Linked DNA regions of Drosophila melanogaster. The protein of the gene in region 2 interacts with the protein of the main gene of each other region in a pairwise test. Each region holds a gene or a part of one and is shown on either strand. Other genes may lie near its edges. The genes, in order: CG32772, E5, Cdk5 and CycJ.

Region 1 (7,613 bases), on a different chromosome or scaffold from region 2:
ATTGCTGGCTCAACCTTAAGAAGTTCCCATTCGATGAGCAGCACTGCTCGACGGTGCTGGAGAGTTGGATGTACAATACGTCGGAACTGGTCCTCCACTGGGAGCAGAAGCGTCCGATAACCTACGATGGGGCACTGCATCTCACCGAGTTTGTGCTGCAGCGTTCCTGGTCAAACGAGACGGTAATCAATGCCGATTTGAGTGACCTGCGTCATGGAGCCTTTGCCGGCAACTACAGCTCCCTCAGCTTCACCGTTCACCTGACGCGAGTGGTTGGCTTTTACCTGATGGACTACTTTCTACCCTCCATGCTGATTGTGGCCATATCCTGGGTATCGTTCTGGCTGCAAGCAGATCAGGCGCCGCCGCGCATCACGCTGGGCACCAGCACCCTGCTGACATTCATTACCCTGGCCTCGGCACAGGGAAAGACTCTGCCAAAGGTTAGCTACATCAAGGTGTCAGAGGTGTGGTTCCTGGGCTGCACCATCTTCATATTTGGCAGCATGGTGGAGTTCGCCTTTGTTAACACGATTTGGCGTCGTAAGAAGAGTGTGCCCGTCAAGAAACTGAACAGCAAACACATCCTGAAGTCAACTCTATCGCCGAATCTGCTCAGACGACGCAGTCACGCCAGATCCAGATCCTTTTCGGGCACGGCTCTGCATAAGACAGCGGATACCGGCTCGCTGGGCGGTGCCGGTTTCAACAATTACCTAACCGTCAATTTGCCCATCACCACGATTAAGGAGGGCCAAGTTCTGGATCAGCAGAGGACCAGCCGCGTCGTCCAGAAGATGGATGTTAACTTTGTGGAGAGTGCCTTTGGATCCATGGGCTCTGCCCAGTCCACTGGAGCGATCAGTGCTGCCAGCAGCAGCCAAACTTTGACCAACAATAACCGAACGGAGAGCGCGGGGCACCAGGAGGAGATCGATCTGAGTGGCTGGACCACGCTAACGCCCCAGGAAATAGCCATGTGGATTGATAGTCGAGCCAGATTCGTTTTTCCGCTCTCCTTTCTCGTCTTTAATCTGTTTTTCTGGACATTTGTCTACTGTATTTAAAAAAAGGTCCATTTCATTTTATTATTAGATTACACAGTAGATTTAATATTGTGAAAAGTATCCAATTTAAAGTGTTTATTATTTGTACCCATCGTTTAGCATAGTTTGTTTAATTATTGTGAAAGTTTTGTATTATGTTTGTTTCACTTTGTTCTGTAAAATGATTTTATATTTATTCTGTTGTAAAATAAAGTTCATGATTCTATGGCTGCCTAAAAAACACCATCAATTATTTAAATAAAATAACCTATGATAAAATAAATCTTTCGGACTTGCAATTAAATATTAAATAAATAATAAATTAAAAAACTTGTTTTCAACAACGATTCCATTACCCGCCTCGTTTTCGATTACGGAAATCGATAGAAATATCGATAGGCCAGGCCAAGGAGCACCGGCCAAGCCAACCTGTGGGTTAGAGCAGCACAACTATACCGCGTATTCTTATCGTATTCGTTTTTTCCCCACACATACACACACACGGCTCACGCATACAGCGCAACAATAACATCGGGCCCCAAAAAAAAGGGAAAAAAGACGACGGACAAAAACTTCGTCGTGAATTGTAAAATACAAAAAAAAAACGCATTCGAACGCGCTGGTTTGTTTTTTTTTTCACGTGTAACTACGCCAAAAAAAGGGCAAAGGAATTAAGCAAAAAAAAGAAGCAGAACTTCGAAGCAGCAACAACAACAGCGCCGCATTTTTGCTTGTATGTGCAAGTGCAAGGCAAACATAAACAACGCGCGTGTGTGTGTGTACCACGAAAATATCGTATAAATCAAATTTCTATATCATTTATATAGTTTTTTTTTTGTTTTTGCCATCATAATATGCCATATAGCGATCACCGAAATCCAAACGCAAACCAAACTCCAAAAAGTTAGTTTCAAATACAACCACACATCGTTTGGATCGTGTTCACAAACTTATAGTAGGAAGGAAAAGGAAAAAGATAGAAAAAAAACGAACTAAATAATAATAAACGAAAAAGAAAAACGGCGCTGAATGTTAACCGGTAAAGATAGCGGTAAATTGCGAGGGAGAAGGACGACAACAACAACAACAACGACCGCAGAGGGGGCAAAAGTCAGCAACAAAGTGCATCCTCCTTCTCCTGCTCCCCATCCTATTCCTTATTTACTGTTATAATGGACACCATCTGTAGATTGTGCTTCCAAACGGCAACGGTATGTTAACAAAAAAAAAAAGATATACACACATGTGATTTAGGTATATACACTTTGTTATTTCTATTGATTTTTTTTCTTTTGGTGGAGTTTAAACAATTGAATTCGCGCTACTGTTATTGTGCGGGCGGGTTGTTGGCGCAGGGGGCGGGGTTCAAAAGCGCGCGCATTGCCCCCCTTTCCCCACACACATACAAACGCACACACACAGAAATAAGAAATACACATACACATGCGACCCCAAACTATTGCTGAACAATTTTTATTTTTAGCCAACTCAGCCCGAAAAGTTGTTCAAGCCGACAACTTGAAAAAATATTATTTTTACATTTTGCTTACGCTCGCCACTCGCTTTTCACTTTGACTCCTTTTCAACCTATTCCCCCGAACAGGCCCCCCTCTTTCAGCCCCCTCCCGCCGCCCATGAACCGCACAAAAAGAAATACATATTAAAACAAAATGACAGAAATTGCGCCAAGGCAGCCAAATACGCAGTGGCTGCGCGTTAATTTAGTGACAGAGGGTTTACTATATTGGGCATCTAAGCCCAAAAATTTAAAGTTAAGCGGTTATAAAACTAACAAAACAGATCTAACTTTGCTTGGTTTTTAGTTCATTATTTAAACAATTACCAAATAACCCCTTTTTTGTAGGCGACGCCTCTGCCGCCGCCGCTGGCAGAGCGGCGGCAAAGCAAAACAAAAAGCGAAAGAATAACAAAACGTTGTACCGAAGAAAAAAAATAACATGAAATGAAAACAACAACAACAAAGCAACGAGCTGCTGGTGCTGTTGTTATTGTAGTTTCTTTTCTTTCTTTTTCGCTCTCCATGTGTGCGTGCCTGTGTGTGTGCGTGTGTTTATCTTCTTGGCTCTTATTTCTAGTTGGTGGAAAAGAGAAAGGGCTAGTTGGCATGGAAGGGGGAGGGTATGTGTGGAATAAGATTGAGTTGCCACAATAAATAAAGAGCATTATTGGTTTTTTTTTTCCAATTGGAAGCACTCTCTAATTCACGTGTCCTGTTCTGTTCTATTCTATTCCCCCGCCCTACAGTTGTTCCAGGTGCCCGGCTATAGCATACCCACGTGCGTCCGCTGCTCGGAGCAGTTGACAAATAATTCCAACTTCCATCAGTCGGCGGCGGCCGCTGCAGCCGTCGCTGCCTCTGCCTCGGCCGCAGTTGCCGCCTCTGCAGCAGCGGCGGCCACCTCCTCGTCGACGGCCTCCTCCAGCGACAGCGACGCCATCGCGCAGCAGCAGCAGCATCAGAATCCGCAGCAGCAGCAGCATCAGAACTCGCAACAGCAACAACAACAACAGCAGCAAATGCAATCATCCAGTTCTTCCGAGAACCTACAGTCGCAGGACGACTCCGAAGACGTAAGTCCATTTCAGGGATTGGGATACCAAGGCAGGGAGAGTGTTGCAAAGGGCATAGTGAGTGGGTTGCACTACGTGTAGTGTTACGAGAGGCATGGCAAGAAGTGGCAGCGAATACAGTGCTGCAAAGGGCTTACTAAAGGAGATAAATAAAGTAAATAACTGAAGGTCGTTCTTATTTTCAACTAAAATATGAACGTCTTGAATATGTATATTAATATCTATGAATAAATTTAAAATTTAATCCTAATGTTTAATAGTCCACGAAAAGTGTTCTATGGTTTAGGAATCCAATCAATGCAATTGCCCATCAAACTATAAATGATTCAAAAAAATTGACAATTTAAACCTAATTACAGAGTTCACTGCAATCCTCAGTAGATGCATTGCATTTGGAATTATAGGGGTTTGAAGACCCCCATCAACCGTTTTCAGAAGAGTGCTTTACTTCCCAGGGAGTTCGACTCCTGCTCCTTTTGCTGCACTTGTTTATTATTGTTGTGCTATTTTCTCTTCATTTTCTTACATTTCACTACTACTCCCCCGCTCACAAAAGTCTTACATATACATATACATAAATGCACACGGACACACTGCACATTCATAGCCGCTGCTTTTCTTCTTCACTTCTTATTTCGCCGTTTCTTTGCATGTTCTTGTTGCCTTTCTTTTTCCATCATGCAACAGAGAATTGCAAAAAAAAAAAATGTATAAATAAATGTAAAATTGCCTTGCGACGACTTGGGAATGCTCTATTGCAGACATGTTTAGATACTATTTACTATTGCTGCTATTTACATAAATTTCAAAAAAAAAACTTCAGTACAGTCTCATTCCATCACACAGTCGACGTGGTAGTGTTGGAAAGTTCTTATAGAAGATTAAAAACGGTAGGCCCTACAGATATGCATTACAAACGGGTTAGAAAAGTGTTGAGCGTGAGAGTATTTTCTATTCCACTTGCTACATTTCGCACTGCTCATTTTCTTGTTTTCCTTTATATTTATATGTATATATATATATATATATAGATATATGTATATACACATATATTTTGTGCTTCTTTTTCCATTAATATCTGCTCTGTCGACGTCGACGTCGAAGTCGACGCAGCTCGGCGTTTTTGTGCGCTGTGTAAAGCGGAAAAAATTCATTTTCAGTTGGCGCTTTTGGTGTGTGGGTGTGCGTGGCACGCAGAAAAATAAATAAAATAATTATAATAAAAAAAAAGCTCGTGAAAAATATTAAATGTAACTCAAGTGATTCCCCAATAAACAAACTGAATTCGCACGGGAATTTGCAATCCGTTCTTTTGGCCGCCAGCTTGTTGAGCGTGAGTGGGAGTGGGAGGGCGATAGTGACACAGTGATGTGCACTTGGCTACTTATTCGTTAGAACTATATGCATATATAATGTACAGCTTAGAAAAAAGGTTTTTCGCATAAATTTATAGTAGGTTGTATTAAAGTAAAATGGCATATCATATATAATGCCTTTCTGATGGAAGGTAACCCGCGGTAGAAGGCAAGCCCTTTGCAACTAATGTTCGATTTGTTTCTTTAAGGTGGATCTGATATTCAACGAGGAGGGCTCCTGCCCGCTATGCAACAAAACTTTCTCGCGCAAATCCTCGCTCATGACGCACATACGAAATCACTCGGCGGAGCGTAAGTTTGTGTGCACCTACTGCCACAAAGGTGAGTCCCATATGCCGTTCGCACACATCATCTGGTTCTTAACAATCGATGTACCTCTTGGATTTTCAGGCTTCACGCAGGCGGCCAACTTGCGGAACCACGAACGCATCCACACGAACGATCGGCCATATCAGTGCGTGGACTGTGGCAAGACCTTCACGCAGATCACCAATTTGAACAATCACCGCCGGCTGCACACCGGCGAACGGCCCTTCGTTTGCAATGAACCGGAGTGCGGTCGCAGCTTCGCCCAGGTCAGTTCCAAGATAAATTGATAAATTGCAGAGGATTTATGATAATAACGGCTCGATATGTTCTCGCATTGCAGGTGACGAACCTGAACAACCATATGAAGTCGCACCACAAGGTGCAGCAGTACTGCTGCAACGTGTGCAACAAGAAGTTCACGCAGGTGACCTCGCTGAACCAGCACCTGCAGGCGCACGCTGGGGTCACCGGCTACTACTGTCCGCGTTGTCCGGAGAAGAACTTCAAACTGCAGTCGCAGCTGCATACGCACATGAAGACCCACGGCCTGGCCTTTCCGTACGAGTGCGACAAGTGCGACGAGAAGTTCCTGCAGCAGGCCCATCTCGACCAGCACCTCAAGATGCACGACGAGTTCAAGTTCAAGTGCGACATCTGCCCGAGTAGCTTCAATCAGGAGTCGCTGCTGAAGAAGCACGTGCAGCGCCATGTCGAGGGTCGCTACCTCTCCTGTCCGGTGGCCAATTGTGCCGAGTCCTTTGCGGTGCGCCAGCACCTCTCCAAGCACCTGCTCACCAATCACGCCCACCACGAGCTGCCGCCTCCGAAGCGATCCAAGAAGGCGGGCACGCTGCAGACGTCGCAACAGCCGCTGGCGATGATCGGCCAGCCGTTGTCACTGCAGCACACGACAGGGCAACGTAAGTGCTCACCATTCACTCATTCACTTTGAATCTCACTACGCCTTTCGTTGCATATCCAGGTGGGCGTCCGCCGAAGAACAAGAACAAGGCGACAACGCTGGCCGCCACGGCCATCAAGATCGAGATCAACGAATCGCTCCACAGCCAGCATATCAGCAATGTCAGCGGCCTGTCCATCCAGCAGCAGATCAATCAGCACATGCAGCAGCAGGCGGCACAGCAGCAGGCGCAGCAGCAGGCGGCACAACAACAGCAGCAGCAGGCGGCGCAACAACAGCAGCAGGCGGCGCAGCAGCAGCAACTGCTGCACTTGCCGATGGGACAGGCGGTCAAGGCGCGTTTCATACCCACTAAGTAGGCTAGTTAAGAATGGAAAGAAGGTCTCTTTTAGCTTAAGCCCCGAACGATCAGCTGCTAAAGTCCCTGATTAGCATAGCCATAGCCAAAGTAGCATCACATTCAGCACATACACACGTAAAATATGTTAGATATATGGCGCGGATGTTTTGGAGTCTCTGCAGATCTCTAAATACTTTTGGGTGTCTGAAGTTGATGTAGAAATCATTCTTTATATGCGTTACCCGTGGAGTTAAGCGTATGCTGGATTGGTGAAAAAAAGGTATGGAACAGGCAGTAGGAAGCGTTTTCGTCCTTGAATTCTGAATCAGAATGGAATGGGGGAGTTAGTCGAGTTCATCGATTAAAGCTAGCTTTTAGTTTTTCTGAGATGCACTTGTCCTACTCTCGCATTGAGTTCAGCATCAACTTTTTGGGTATCAGAATCCACTTAATTATCTTGAAATCGGCGAGTGGACTTCCAAAACATCCCGAATTTAGAGTCGGCGGCAAGCTGCTGGTTCAGTTTGGTGTCTGTCTCCCACTTCCTGTTTTGAATTCAGCAGCCAAAGCAATAGAGGAACCAAATGCCCCTGAATAAATTTCCAAGAATATTAGCAGCAATGCATGACATCGAAAGAGATAAGGAGAAAAAGCAGCAGCACCAGATGGACAGACAAAAACACAACTGACTTATAAAATTATGCACATAACACCCACATCTATATATACATTATATTATATAAACATGAGATCGGGTTGAGAAATCTGTAAAACTTAAATCGAATTAAAATTTTATTGTAATGCAAAGGCGCAGCGAAACGGAAAATATAATGTTGAAAAAACAAAAAAAAAAAAAAAACAGAAAGCAAATACAAATTACCTACAATTGATAGTAATTACGCATAGAGAAAAGTAACGAAAACAAGAAGTGAAAAACAATTCGATTAAATTCGGTATGTATTTATGTTAGGCATTAGCTTAAGTGTTTTTATTTTTTTTTTAATAAACCATTACAAAAAATCAACATT
Region 2 (4,652 bases):
ACAGGCGGCGCGGAGAAAAGTGAGAAAAAAGAGAAGGAGCGGCGGGAAATGGGAAAACAAGTAGAAAGGGAGAAAATAATGAAACGGAGTACAACATAATTAAGGCGTAACGGGGATACATGTACACTTAAGCAGGTGAAAGGCGTGTGAGTGTGCCGAAAATTATTATTATATTTAACCGGCCGAAAAAAAACATGGATACCAACATGGCCTGGAAATTCAAATGGTAATCATGAGAGCAGCGGAATGGTAGAAAAAAGTGGTTAAACCGTAATAAATGACAATGTTTTTGAGATGCGCTTTGCGGTGGCTCTTCGCTTCTATCTGCCAGTTTTTTTTTTTTACCATTCCTCTCGGTTCTTTGCTTGGTTGCCCCAAAACCTCAATTAAAAACGCATTAACATTTCAATGGTTGCACTTTTCGTACGTTACACATACGCCGCATGGGCCCGCCGCATGAGTAACTGGCGCCGTCTGTTGGCCATTAATGGTAATTTCGAGTGAAGAGAAAAAGTATAAATAGAGCAAATAAATGCTAAACACACACTCACACACTTGGCTGGCCATTTAGGTACGCTGCTTGACCTAACGATGTGTGTAATGTTGTTTAAACAATTTAATTAAAATGTAATTTGTTTGGAAATAGTTATCAAAATGGGTTCGGTTCCCTCCACATTCCCCCCTTCCTGTTCGCTCCCATTCTCCGTCCCGCTCCCTCTGATGATGATGAGCCCGATACACGTCTAATTAACTTGTAATAAATGTTTGCCATTTGCTTATTTAACTTTAATTATATGGAGCTGCGCGGCAACAACAGCGATAACTGAATAATTGCTTGATTGGGGTCCTCTCTACTATAATGGTGCTGGGCTTCGAATATGACTTAAGGTGTGGTTTCTTTTTCTCTGTCGCTCGCAACACTCAGCGGCCATTTGAAACGGCTATAATGAATGCGGAAAACTCGTTATAGCGAAAAATAACCAACAAAAGGGGTGGTTGCTATCTCCAGAAGAAGAAACCGACCGTAAACTATCATAATATTCTAATGTTCAAATATGAAAAATATATATGTAACAACTATCTTTCTAATAATCCGTAAAAGAGAGATGTACTCTTATTATCAGAATAGGGTAAATATTAAATTAAATGATATGTATTATTGTTATATAAACTGTTATTAATTTTGCAGTAAATTTATTACAAATAATTGTTAGCTTAGATGATTATGCATAAAAATTATATTTTTCAATTTATAGAAATAATTTTTAGCGGTTTTATATACATATGAAAGTACCGCTTGCTAAACCGGTTAGCTTCTCTGAACTCTGAACTTATTGAAAATATTGTAATAAACAATAGATATATTTAAAACAGTGTGATTACTTACTGCCTGGGAATCGTGGAAAAATGCGTCCGTGTCGGCTGAGCAACCATGGATACAACGGATAGCTATCCCGGATCAGATGCGGCGCACTCCCGAACGGATGGTGTCCGTGGGGCGGAGGATGCCCGGGATGCGGTCCGCCGGGAAAGATTCCAAGTGGAATTTGGCCGGGCGGCAGATGCGGATGTGGACCATGTGGCGGTCCAGTTGGCACGGGCGGAAGTTGCTGTTGTTGCTGCTGCTGTTGCTGCTGGTGATGATGAGCCAGTGCAGCAGCCATTTGGAACTGGGCGGCAAGGAACGGCGGTGGCTGCGACGGCGGGTGGGGCGGACCCGCCATGCGCACCGCCATGGCGTTCGGTGAGGTGCGGTTCCCAATTAAAGCTAGATTTGGCGCCGGCAGAGGCAACGGACGGATGAGGGTTGGAGGATTTCCCGTTCCCGACGATGGATCCCCGGACTTTGCAGTATTCCCGGCCGCTGCCGGATTGCCTCCTGCATTGGGGGGCGATGGCGACCGGCTAACCGGTGATCTCTGAGGACTGCGCGATCGATCCAGCGAATCCCTTCTGCGGCAGTAGATATAGCCCCTGGGCGTCCGGCGCCCACTGTTGTTCGTGTTCGTTGGCGAAGCGGGACTTTCGCTGCGCGGCGGCGGCGAAGATATCACACTGACCCTTAGTGGAGCCGATCTCGTCGAGGATTCGCCCACAATCGAGTCGATGCTGAAGGCCAGCTTGGGCTTGCTGCTCGCGGAGGCGGAAACGGTACTGCTGGCGGAAACGGAAGTCGAGGATGCGGCCACCGAGGAGCTGCTGCTCACAAAAGGACTCGTCGGCGCCATGGGCAGCATGTTGAACGTTTGCCGGCCGCAGGTGACCATTTGGTAGGGGTTTCGTTGATTGGAAAAACAAATGAATCACTTTCCCTCCTCTTAAACTTCCCGATTCGAAGTCTCTGCAAGTCGAAGTAGATTATAAGAACACTTGTAGGCCTTAAATTCCATTTTTTCCATTCCATATTTGACTTTTTTGAAAAAAAAAATTTTGTATTTTCGAACGGGATAAATCAGTAAATAAAAGAATAATGCTCAACTAAAAGTTTTAGGAATAAAATAAAACGGTAAAAATCCTACTAAAATCAAAGGGAATGGAAATTGAAATGGAATTGAACTGAATAGAAACGGAAACGGAAAAAGGGTTGTACTGATCGAAGCTCCCAATAAATGGGTTGGTGCTATGGAAACATGATCGCGTACATCGGTTAATGGTTACTAGATATCAGATAAGCACACACGCACTGTTTTTCCGATCAGATAGCTATAGCTATATAGCTACGTAGCGTTGTATCTGCGATGCTCCAGCGGTTGGCATCCGTCGGCGTGACATTGATAAACTGTAACTGTAACTGGAGCGGCGGCAACGCGGCGATTGGAGCGTGACCGTACCGCTTCGCTGGACGATTGACGGCGGCGATTGATGGTTGGCGATTGACTATTGGCGATTGACGGTGGCGGTGGCGGTATCAGTTAACGGTTAACGGTTATGCCGGCTACCCGGTAACGAAACGATTGCGGTGGCCGCGCTGCGATGATGATGAGCACTGTCAACGCCATTAGCATTATGGAGCGTCTAAAGGCGTCTAATTGTTGGCTCCACTTCGCCGCTCGCAACCTCTGTCTCTCTCTCGCTTTCTCTCTTTCTGTCCTGATTTTTGGCGGGGGCGTCGGCGAATCGCTGCGTGGCTCTCACGCTGAGCGTTTTAGCTCGAGTGTCGCGTTGGAAAAAGCCGCAAAAAGTTTGTGGGGCCAGTTCGAGTGTGCTTCTTCTTCCTTTGCTTGTACTTCCAGCGCAGCAATACTGCTGGCGTCTCGCTCGCACACGTGGCTCGGTGCGCGTGCGCCAAAGCAGCGCAACAATAGTTCAGTGGATATTCCGAAAACCTGCTTGGCTCCAAGTGGAGCCACCTCCTCTCTCGCTCGCTCTCCCGCTCTCTGGGCTTGTTGGTGTGTGGGTGTGTGAGGGGCCCCAATCTCTCTCTTTTTCTCTCTCTCTCTGTCGCTCTCTTGGCCATTTTTCGCACCAGTTTATGACAGCGAAACAAACAATTTGCGCTAAACAAAACAGCATCATTAAAGCGTTTGTGGTTTTAGTGCCAAGCGGGTTGGCCAGTTTGTTGGAGCGTAGGAGGGGGAACGGGGGTGGTGCACCCGAACAGTGGATAGGAAGTAGGTCTTCGATGATTAAAAATAAATATAATAAATATAACATTTAAAATTGAAAAGCGAACTGTGCCCTCTTTTAATTATGCAAATACTAACAATAAAAAAAAATTGAAACTTTATTTAATTGAATTGTATTTATTCATTGAAATATTTAAGGCTTAAACGTTTATCTTTCATCAGTAACCGTTTTTAAATTGTTTTCATGTATTAAATTATTTACTATCTACTGGAAAATCGATATTAAAAAGTGTTCAAATTTGTACATAACTCAAAAGTAGAAAATACGCATTTTTCAAAGGATATCGAGCCGATACCACTGTGCAGTGGAATCAACGTCATCGCTTATATAGCTTAGACGCCCCGTCGTCAGTGCTGGCTATAAACCACTTTCCCTCCCCCCGCCGCTTGGCCATTCTACCATTCTGAATTGGCATCTGCATCATGTTGGCCAAAAGCATTTGGACACGAAAATGGGCGGTAACTTGGTTTCTACACCTTCGGCGAGCTGCAACTGCGCGAATCTCACAGATACAGATACAGCGTGCTGGGAAGGGAACGTATCTGCATCTGTATCTGTGCGTGGTCATCCGAGTATCTGTATACCCATCCCCATCCCCATTCCCATCCCCATCCCTATCCGCATCCTCATCCGCTGGCTGTGAGTTGTGAAAATAAACACCTCGTTAAAGATGCAGGAGGAGGCATAAAACATGCAGCGCCAACTTCGCAGCCTTCTCATAGGTAAATACATGCGATTCTCCTCCTTTTGGCCATGAATGGATATGGATGTTGGCCAGAAAGGAGGCGAGAGTTGGCAAATAAATTGACGTGCGCTTGGCTGGATTTGTATGCATCTAGATAAGGCCGTTGCTTGTCGGTGGGGCAGCAGCTTTGCTGCCGCAGATGCACTCATGTATACACGTATACATATATCTATATCTGTGAGTGTGGCACCTCTGGGTGCGGTAATTGTAATTGGTTTTTACTCTTTCCCATCTCCTTTCCAGCTCCTCTGCCTCACGATTCGGGATAAATCATTTAATT
Region 3 (4,193 bases), on a different chromosome or scaffold from region 2:
AAAATCGATAGTGACGTCACTTGGGGTGGGGTGTATATATATGTGTGTGTGCGTGACAATTTCATTTTTATTCACTGACTTATTTATTTAATCGATTTGACATTATTTTGAGCATATAAGGATCGTGTGATTTACCAGAGACAACTAAAGCCTCGTTGGGGCCGCAGGTTACAAATCCCCAAGTCATTTCTGCAGCACTTATTTGTTATTTATATTAGAAAATGGGTTGCTGCTGATAACAGCTTTTGTTTTATCTGCGCGGTTAACACAGTTTTCCGATTATTAACTATATAGCGAATTATCCGATCCACAGGTAGCCTTGTTTATTCGTCTAATAATATATATAAAAGAATTTCCGAGGTACTCGGTGCTTAAGATTCAGAAATCCGACCGGTTCGGTTAGCAATTCGTAGCACAATAAAAAAATCTCTCAATCTGTAAAGTTCTCAATTTCTAACTCGCGAGTGCGCAGAACGACTTTAACCCCTATTGAGTGCCGGGGGTTGAGGCGACCACTTCAAAATATTCATCATGCTGCGACGACGTAGTGCTGCGGTAAGTGTCTTTATTGGTTTAAAAATCTAGGTTACATCTCAATTTTTTTTATTCTAATTTACTTAATGACTCATATCATTCAGAAAGATCGAAATTCTTAAAAATACACAATAAATGTAATAAGAAAATCGTCGACACTCATTAAATTTGGAAACCAGATGTATTGCCTAGTTTTTAGTCTTTGAAAACAGAAACTAGGATTTCAAATATTTTTTCCACATTCACACAAACAGTAGATATCGTCTAGGAATTTGAACAATTTTCGGATCTTAACGATACACTCAACATAAAAATTTTTAAGAATAAAACTATTTTACTGAATCAATAAGTATTTTATCGATAAATGTTAATTTGGCAGCTCAAATGGCTATATTAAGTGTCACATTGGTAGGGATTGTCATAAATCAAACCTTTTGCTTTGGTAAATCAAACTAATGAAATTATAAAGAACTTTTTATCTTATACTATAATCGAACTCTACTGCAAGGACATACATATATAATTAAAAGATCTTTGCTGGACAAAGTCTCGCATTTTGGCTTAAGTCTAATCAAAGGTCGTGAAAACAGTGGCTTGGAAAGAACCTTCCGACCTCAATGTCCCGAAGAGCTGCTGTCCGTAAAGTAGGGATGCTGCATCGCCGCCTCCGCGCTAATTCGCTGATTTGGCCGGCAGATGAGCAGCTTTTGCAGCAGGTCGCGTCCCTTGGAGTTTAGCCTAGGTACCAGCTGACTCCACGAGGTGATGGCCGGAAAAGCTATAATATAAATAGGCTTTTAATATTGGTATCGATAAATAAAATCCGTCTAGAATCCCTACATGGAAGCGCCACGTAGTCGGAGAGGTGCGAAACTCCTGGCCAGGAGTCCTCGTTGGGGGTGCCCAGCACACGGAAGATCTTCATCAGCTGATCGAGCACGTCAGAGCCAGGAAACAGCGGTCGTCCAGCGTCCGCCAGTTCGGCCAAAATGCATCCAGCGGACCACATGTCTATGCTGGTCGTATAGAGCTTGGCTCCAAATAGGACATCGGGTGGTCGGTACCACAGGGTCACCACTTCTGCGGAGTAGCACTTCACGGGAATGCCAAAGGCTCTAGCGAGACCAAAGTCAGCTAGCTTTAGCTCGCCGTTTTTGTTGATCAGCAGGTTCTGTGGTTTCAGATCGCGATGCAGGACATTATGGCTAAAATAGGATAATGTAGCGTAAGTTAAGTCTCAATGCTATAAAATGGATATCATTCGGAAATGTGCCACAGATGAAGTTACTCCAAATAACACTTGATTCTAACTATAATCGACACAAGATAAGACCTAATCCAGTGCTGATACATATATAGGTATACCTGTGGCAGAATGCCAGTCCGCGGAGCAGTTGGAGCATAAAGCTCCTGCAGACGGCCATGTCGATCTCCCCGTTGAGGCTGTCAAAGTACTTCTTGAGGTCCTGGTCGCAGTGCTCGAAGACCAGGGTGAGTTTCTTGTCCGAGTGCAGGACGTCTATGAGGCGCACAATGTTCTTGTGCTTCAGCTCCTACGGATGGTAATGTGCCGATTTAGTTTATAAACTGGAATCACTTCCTGCTCGTCCGACTGACCTTCAGCAGGCAGATCTCCCGGAGGGCAGAACTGGGCACACCCTCGTCGTCCTCGTCCAGTCGCACCCGTTTCAGGGCCACTATTTCCATGGTGTCGCGGTTGCGACCCTTGAACACCGTGCCGTAGGTGCCCTCCCCGATCTTCTCCATTTTATCGTACTTCTGCATTTTGCTGTGTTTTGGTGTGTATTATTTTGCGTTCAGATGGAAAACTCCGGGGATTATTGTTTTTGCAGTTTGTTTTTGCTGGCCAGGGATTCGTGCGCCTAACAGCACACTGTTATTCGCTTACAGCACGCGGTGACTAACCAACATCGCAGCTGACAGTCTGCTGTCACCAAAAATACTCAAAATTAACAGATATCATTTTAAAAATGTTGATAAAACTTTTGTTATAATTTTATTGTTTTATTTGGACTCGATATTAGCTAAACATACGAATATAGACCGACAATGATAAACACCGATCTTATGGTACCGCAATGCAACAATATAGCAGAAATATAAGTATACAAGTTTCCTAATTTCTTTTGCCCTTTGCAGAATACCAAGCCTGGCTTACTATGTCTGCCCGATGATGTTCTAATGATAATTCTAAGTTATCTCGACTTGAAGACCCAACTAAAACTGAAAGACTTTCATTTCCGGTTTAAGAAATTAATGCCGTATGTGTGGCGTGCTTATAACAAATGTGCATATATATCCTTGATTGAAATGCAGCTGAGCGACAAGGATTTGCTATTCTTCCTGGAAAGTACTCAACAAATCCTCAGCACTCTGCGGCTCAAAATGAATAATAGATCTAACTTCGAAACACTTACCAGCTGTAGTTTTCCAAAACTTAAAGATTTTCGATTTTCCACGCATTCGTTTAACTTAAACGATGCGGACGTGCCAAGAATGTTGAAAACTTTTCCAAATCTGACAACTTTTAGCCCCCATGGAAAGTTTACTGGCAAACACTTTGATGAATTCGAGTTTCTCGAGAACCTCACGGTCTCCTACTGCAGCAAATTCAATGTCACCAACTTGATACAGATCCTGAAAACCAGAAAAATAAAATCCCTGAAGCTGGGTATCTTCGATATTGACCAGATTTCGAACACAGAACTGCCCTGGAAAGGGATTAGAAACCTAGAGCAGCTGCAGTGCTTCCAGGAGGAAATGATGGTGTGGTTCCTATCGAAACTGGAACGTCTAACTCACTTGAAGAAGCTATTTCTTTGTGGTCACGTTAGATACGGATTTCTGAGAGAGATTCTCATAGCTGCGAAGAGAAGCACTATAAATATGATCGAGATAAGCCAAAATACATCCATATTTTGTGAAACTTACGGTTTAAATGTGGCTATTAAGACCCTAAAGGTGGCTAATTTTGGTATGCATGCGTATCAGCATCTTCACATTAATGTCAATGAATTTTATATACAAAATTCGGTTTGTGTGGACGAAATTAAGTTTCATACCTTAATACAAAACCTAAACACACACGAGGTCCTGGGTATATACCATTGCACCTTCGGATTTAAGGAGTTCACATTCGATGCGAAGAAACTGGGAGAAAACCGTACCACAGCACTTAATATTTATGTGGAACTAAACACGTATCTCATGTCTAATGAGGTCTAAGTATTTCACAACTTATATTAGCTTTCGTTTCTAATATTTTTCATTACAGGATCCCATCCCCATGACCTGGAAAGTGCAAGGGGAACATAGGCTTTTCAAGTTGCACATGAAGCATCCAAAAATCACTTTTAACTCGGATCCAGTTTCAATTTACTTTGATTGAGTTTGATTGCCAAGGAACGAAGCTGTAGACTGATGACTAGTTTGATATGCCAGCTGAGATAGATAACTTTAAATGGCCGAGCCAAATAATTAGTTGTACGTTTTCCCTGGTTATGGAAAAGATTCAACCTTACCGGCGGATTTCAATGAGAAGTTTCCAGGAGTTCTTCAATGCAAGCTCCTCTAGAAGCTGCCAAGGATTGACAGTACTATTAGTTACAAAATAAAGGCTTAGTTTTATTGAGACTGTG
Region 4 (4,000 bases), on a different chromosome or scaffold from region 2:
TCAGTCGCTTAATTCCATCCAAAAACGTGCTGTTTTCAATATACTGCGCGGTGAAGCGGAGAACATTCCTTATGTGCTGTTTGGGCCTCCGGGCAGTGGAAAAACAATGACACTTATTGAGACACTACTCCAGTTGGTTAGGAATCTGCCTGGTGCCCGAATCTTGGTGGGAACGCCGTCGAACAGCTCAGCGGATTTGGTGACAAAGAGGCTCATCGATAGCAAAGCTTTGCTCCAGGGAGATTTCATTCGCCTCGTTTCGTACAATCAAGTGGAGAAAGACTTGATTCCTCCGGAAATAATGAGCTACTGCGCCACAAGTGATGTCGGTGCTGTGGGCAGTTGCGAGGACAAAGTGAGTAGAAAAATTTTATCATTTGGATTGGACACCAATTAATCTTGGCTTTGTTGATATTTGCTATAGATGATGGTCACCGAATCGGGATTGAAGCTTCGCTGTCAAGCTAAGTTTATAGGTACTCATCGCATTACCATCTCCACCTGCACTACTTTGGGAAACTTTTTACAATTGGGGTTTCCAGCGGGCCATTTCACTCACGTGCTGTTCGATGAAGCTGGTCAATGCACCGAACCAGAAACAATGGTACCCATTGTAATGCTAACGAAGAAACGCTCTCAAGTTGTTCTCTCAGGTGATCCTCGCCAGCTGCAGTCTATTGTCACCAGTCGAATTGCCTCGAAAATGGGATTTTCCATATCCTTTCTGGAGAGATTGCTGGAACGGTCGCCGTATCGAAAAGATCTTCAGCGATTTCCCGAAAGCTCCGGCTACAATCCACTAGTGCTAACCAAATTGTTGTACAATTACCGAGCATTACCGTCGATTATGAGCATTTATAGCAGGCTATTCTACGATGACGAACTGATCCCAGTTCTTTCCGAAAAGGATTCAAGGGAATCTCGCCTACTAAGTAAACTGCGGTGTGTATTTGAGTCAGAAAAGGATATCCCTCAAGCGCACGGCACGTTCTTTTACGGAATCATTGGCGAAAACAGGCAAAATAACGATTCCCCTTCCTGGTTCAATCCCCAAGAGGTCAGGGAGGTGTTCCTAATGACCATCGCCCTGTACCGTGCCAATGTGACTGCCGATCAGATCGGTATAATCACGCCCTATCAGAAGCAGGTGAAGATGCTTCGGAGTATGTTCATTGGCACCGACGTGGTCATGCCGAAGATTGGATCCGTCGAGGAGTTTCAGGGACAGGTGGGGTCGGAACTAAAATCGATATTACGTGCACACTTAACGTTTGTTATTTCCAGGAACGAGACATTATACTAATATCCACGGTGCGTTCATCAGAAGAGATCCTGCGCATGGATGCCCGCTTCTCCTTGGGATTCGTGCGTTGCAGCAAGCGACTTAACGTGGCCGTTTCCCGAGCACGTGCCATGATGATCATCTTCGGGAATCCCCATCTTCTGGCCGTCGACGAATGCTGGCGCCAGCTAATCCTGTTCTGTGTCAAAAATAACGCCTATTTTGGCTGTGATCTGCCTCAAATGGTGATAAATCAGAAAGATGAGGTCCCCGTTTGCTTGGAAACATTCGTGCCTTCACTGAATACTACAGATGATTTGAACTAAGCACATATGACAGTTTATTATTAAATTAAAACACTTGTTATTGATGAATTAAAGTAACACAATTAATCATTAAACTTGTTTTAAATATTTGTACATATGTGCTAATTTTAGCGAATGGTAACACTCCCAAGCGCAGTCTGGGAACGCTGCTCGTTTGGCTTCGCAGTGTGGTAGCACTGGCCGGAACCGTTGTAGCGCCATGTTTGCGCTCCTTTTGTTTTCTCCTTCATTTGTTTTGCTTTTTTCCGCCGTTAAGTTCTTGCCTTAAAATCGGTGATTTAAGGCATTGCATTCAATTTCGATACAATGGAGCAGAAAGTGGCTGCCGAGCAGAACATCTTCGTCGTCGACCGCAAATTGAAGAAAACTTGCCCGCAAGCAGATGTCGAGGTGAACGGACATGTGCTTAACTTTTGCGAACCCGACTTTATTTCGTTAAATACCAATTTGTAGCGCCTGGCTAAGACGCACTGGCTCACCGACTATGCCCGGGATATATTTTTGACCATGAGGGAGCAAGAACTCAGCCGTCGGCCTTTGTTTTACCTTTCGCCGCAGCTGAACGAGCGCCGAAGAATGCTGCAGTTGCTCAAACTGGCGACCAGCGCCCACAAGCTTAGTCGCTGTGCTTTGCACCTGGGTGAGCACTGTACAGAGGAGCCTCGCTGCAGGCACAAAACCCATGTGCACAACTCATTGTAACTCGTTTCACTCCAGCCGTCTACTATATGGATCGCTTTGTTGATTACTACAAAATCCGTCCGGACAAATTGCTCCTGGTGGCCATCACTTGTCTTCATATAGCTGCGCAGATCGAAAACACGGATGCGTTTATTCCGCGCTACAGCGAAATGAACCGATTGGTCAAGAACGCCTATACGGCATTCGAGTACAAGGCTGTGGAAAGGAAGATCCTGTGCTTCCTGAACTTCGAGCTAATACGTCCCACCACCGCCAGTTTTGTGGAGCTCTTCGCCTGCAGTTTTCTCACTCGCTCCGATTTCAAGAACTACATCGAGATGTTGGATGAGTACGAGCGGAACCATCACACCCAGCCGTACCAGCGATATATAAGCTTCGAAGAGATGCTGTCCATTTTGGCGCAGTTGCTCCTTCGCATGGCGGATTATACATTGTACAGTGAGTATCGAATTCCCATGGAAGGTATTGGATACCACTTAACACTCATTCAGTTTCCAGATTTGCCAACGATCTGCCATCCCTTTTGGCTGCCGCCTGCATTGCTGCAGTTCGCCAGGTCAGCGGGGTCAGGCGCTGGTCGGAGTACCTAGTTGGACTGACCTCCTATACTGAGGCGAATGTCGAGCCGTACATGAACGTTCTGACCGACTATTATTATTACCATGTTATTCAGACCGACTACGGTAGTCCCTCTGTTCAGACCAACCAGAGTTTAGCCAGTCCCGATTCCGGATTCGAGGAGTCCTTCACTGAGAACACAAACCTGGTGGTCTCCGATGAAGTGGTCACAGTAGAGACCTACAACATAATTACCGTGCAGCTGCAGGATCCATCTCCACATTCATCGACTTTCCTTCCCAAAGAGCAAACGAATTTGAAGCGATCGCGCTTTGAAGACGATACCGAAAACCAGCACCCATTGAAACACGCCAAAGTGGAGAGTGTAGCCAAAGATTAGTAAAAGGGAAAAACGAAACTATTACCATTTGGAGGAAATCCAAATAGCTTAGAAGTGAAATGACATCCATAACGTAGATATGGTCTTGTTCAATTGAGTTGAACCTCACCCATATAATAATCGTGATGTTATGCTTTAATATATATGTATTTAATATATATTTGAAATTATCTTATAAACTTATAAATACAATATGTCAAAAACTCAACAAAAATGATGCATTAACTAAAAACAACGAAGACATTATTTATAATTCGCTAAAGAACAATGCCCCTTGTTTAATTTAATCAGACGTTTGCGGGAGCTTTCAAATTAAAAATTCTTATAACTATAAGGGTTTACAATTCAATTTGGAATGCCAAATTAAAGATGTCAGTTAAGGAACAATGAAAGGGTCATTAAGGCTTTCTTATTTTTACATAGGTTGTATGACTTAAGATCGAGTTTTTACAAAAAAGAAACGAGATAGATTTCGGAACTCAAGCAAACTTTGGACAGTTCTCAATACATTTTCAGCTTCACAAATGCAAAAAGATTAAAACTAACTGCTATTAGAAGTTAATTGATTGTCCAAAGAATACTCTTCGTTCCTTAGATTTCGTGTCGTTACAATCGAATCAACTTAAACATGGATGTTACTCTTTACACTTCAATTTGACGTACGTCTCATATATCTAGCCTAGCCCCTAAATGCACAAGGCGGGAATGCATCGAGGAAGTTGAGGGAATCGG

What was found.
Region 1: the proteins of E5 (region 2) and CG32772 interact in a two-hybrid assay, tested with the Drosophila melanogaster proteins (one large-scale study listed by BioGRID).
Region 3: the proteins of E5 (region 2) and Cdk5 interact in a two-hybrid assay, tested with the Drosophila melanogaster proteins (one large-scale study listed by BioGRID).
Region 4: the proteins of E5 (region 2) and CycJ interact in a two-hybrid assay, tested with the Drosophila melanogaster proteins (one large-scale study listed by BioGRID).

Annotation. Positions count from the first base shown.
Region 1 is NC_004354.4:4,907,541-4,915,153, forward strand, and holds the start of CG32772 (uncharacterized protein), read left to right. Parts: upstream 1-1,561; 5' UTR 1,562-1,779; exon of another isoform or gene 1,780-1,911; 5' UTR 1,912-2,218; coding exon 2,219-2,257; intron 2,258-3,311; coding exon 3,312-3,638; intron 3,639-4,840; exon of another isoform or gene 4,841-4,971; intron 4,972-5,202; coding exon 5,203-5,335; intron 5,336-5,404; coding exon 5,405-5,589; intron 5,590-5,663; coding exon 5,664-6,243; intron 6,244-6,305; coding exon 6,306-6,604; 3' UTR 6,605-7,613. Other genes in the region: CG6927 (uncharacterized protein), read left to right, coding at 1-1,067.
Region 2 is NT_033777.3:13,871,913-13,876,564, forward strand, and holds the start of E5 (E5), read right to left. Parts: upstream 3,005-4,652; 5' UTR 2,685-3,004; intron 2,342-2,684; 5' UTR 2,268-2,341; coding exon 1,388-2,267; intron 1-1,387.
Region 3 is NT_033778.4:15,568,984-15,573,176, forward strand, and holds Cdk5 (Cyclin-dependent kinase 5), read right to left. Parts: upstream 2,435-4,193; 5' UTR 2,320-2,434; coding exon 2,152-2,319; intron 2,088-2,151; coding exon 1,900-2,087; intron 1,740-1,899; coding exon 1,375-1,739; intron 1,313-1,374; coding exon 1,149-1,312; 3' UTR 556-1,148; downstream 1-555. Other genes in the region: Flo1 (flotillin 1), read right to left, coding at 136-187; CG30466 (uncharacterized protein), read left to right, coding at 532-555, 2,695-3,774, 3,830-3,943. UniProt on the Drosophila melanogaster protein: Probably involved in the control of the cell cycle. Interacts with D1 and D3-type G1 cyclins. Possible regulator of neuronal differentiation and/or development.
Region 4 is NT_037436.4:3,464,625-3,468,624, forward strand, and holds CycJ (cyclin J), read left to right. Parts: upstream 1-1,803; 5' UTR 1,804-1,914; coding exon 1,915-1,998; intron 1,999-2,061; coding exon 2,062-2,248; intron 2,249-2,325; coding exon 2,326-2,748; intron 2,749-2,801; coding exon 2,802-3,268; 3' UTR 3,269-3,474; downstream 3,475-4,000. Other genes in the region: armi (armitage), read left to right, coding at 1-355, 425-1,228, 1,285-1,608.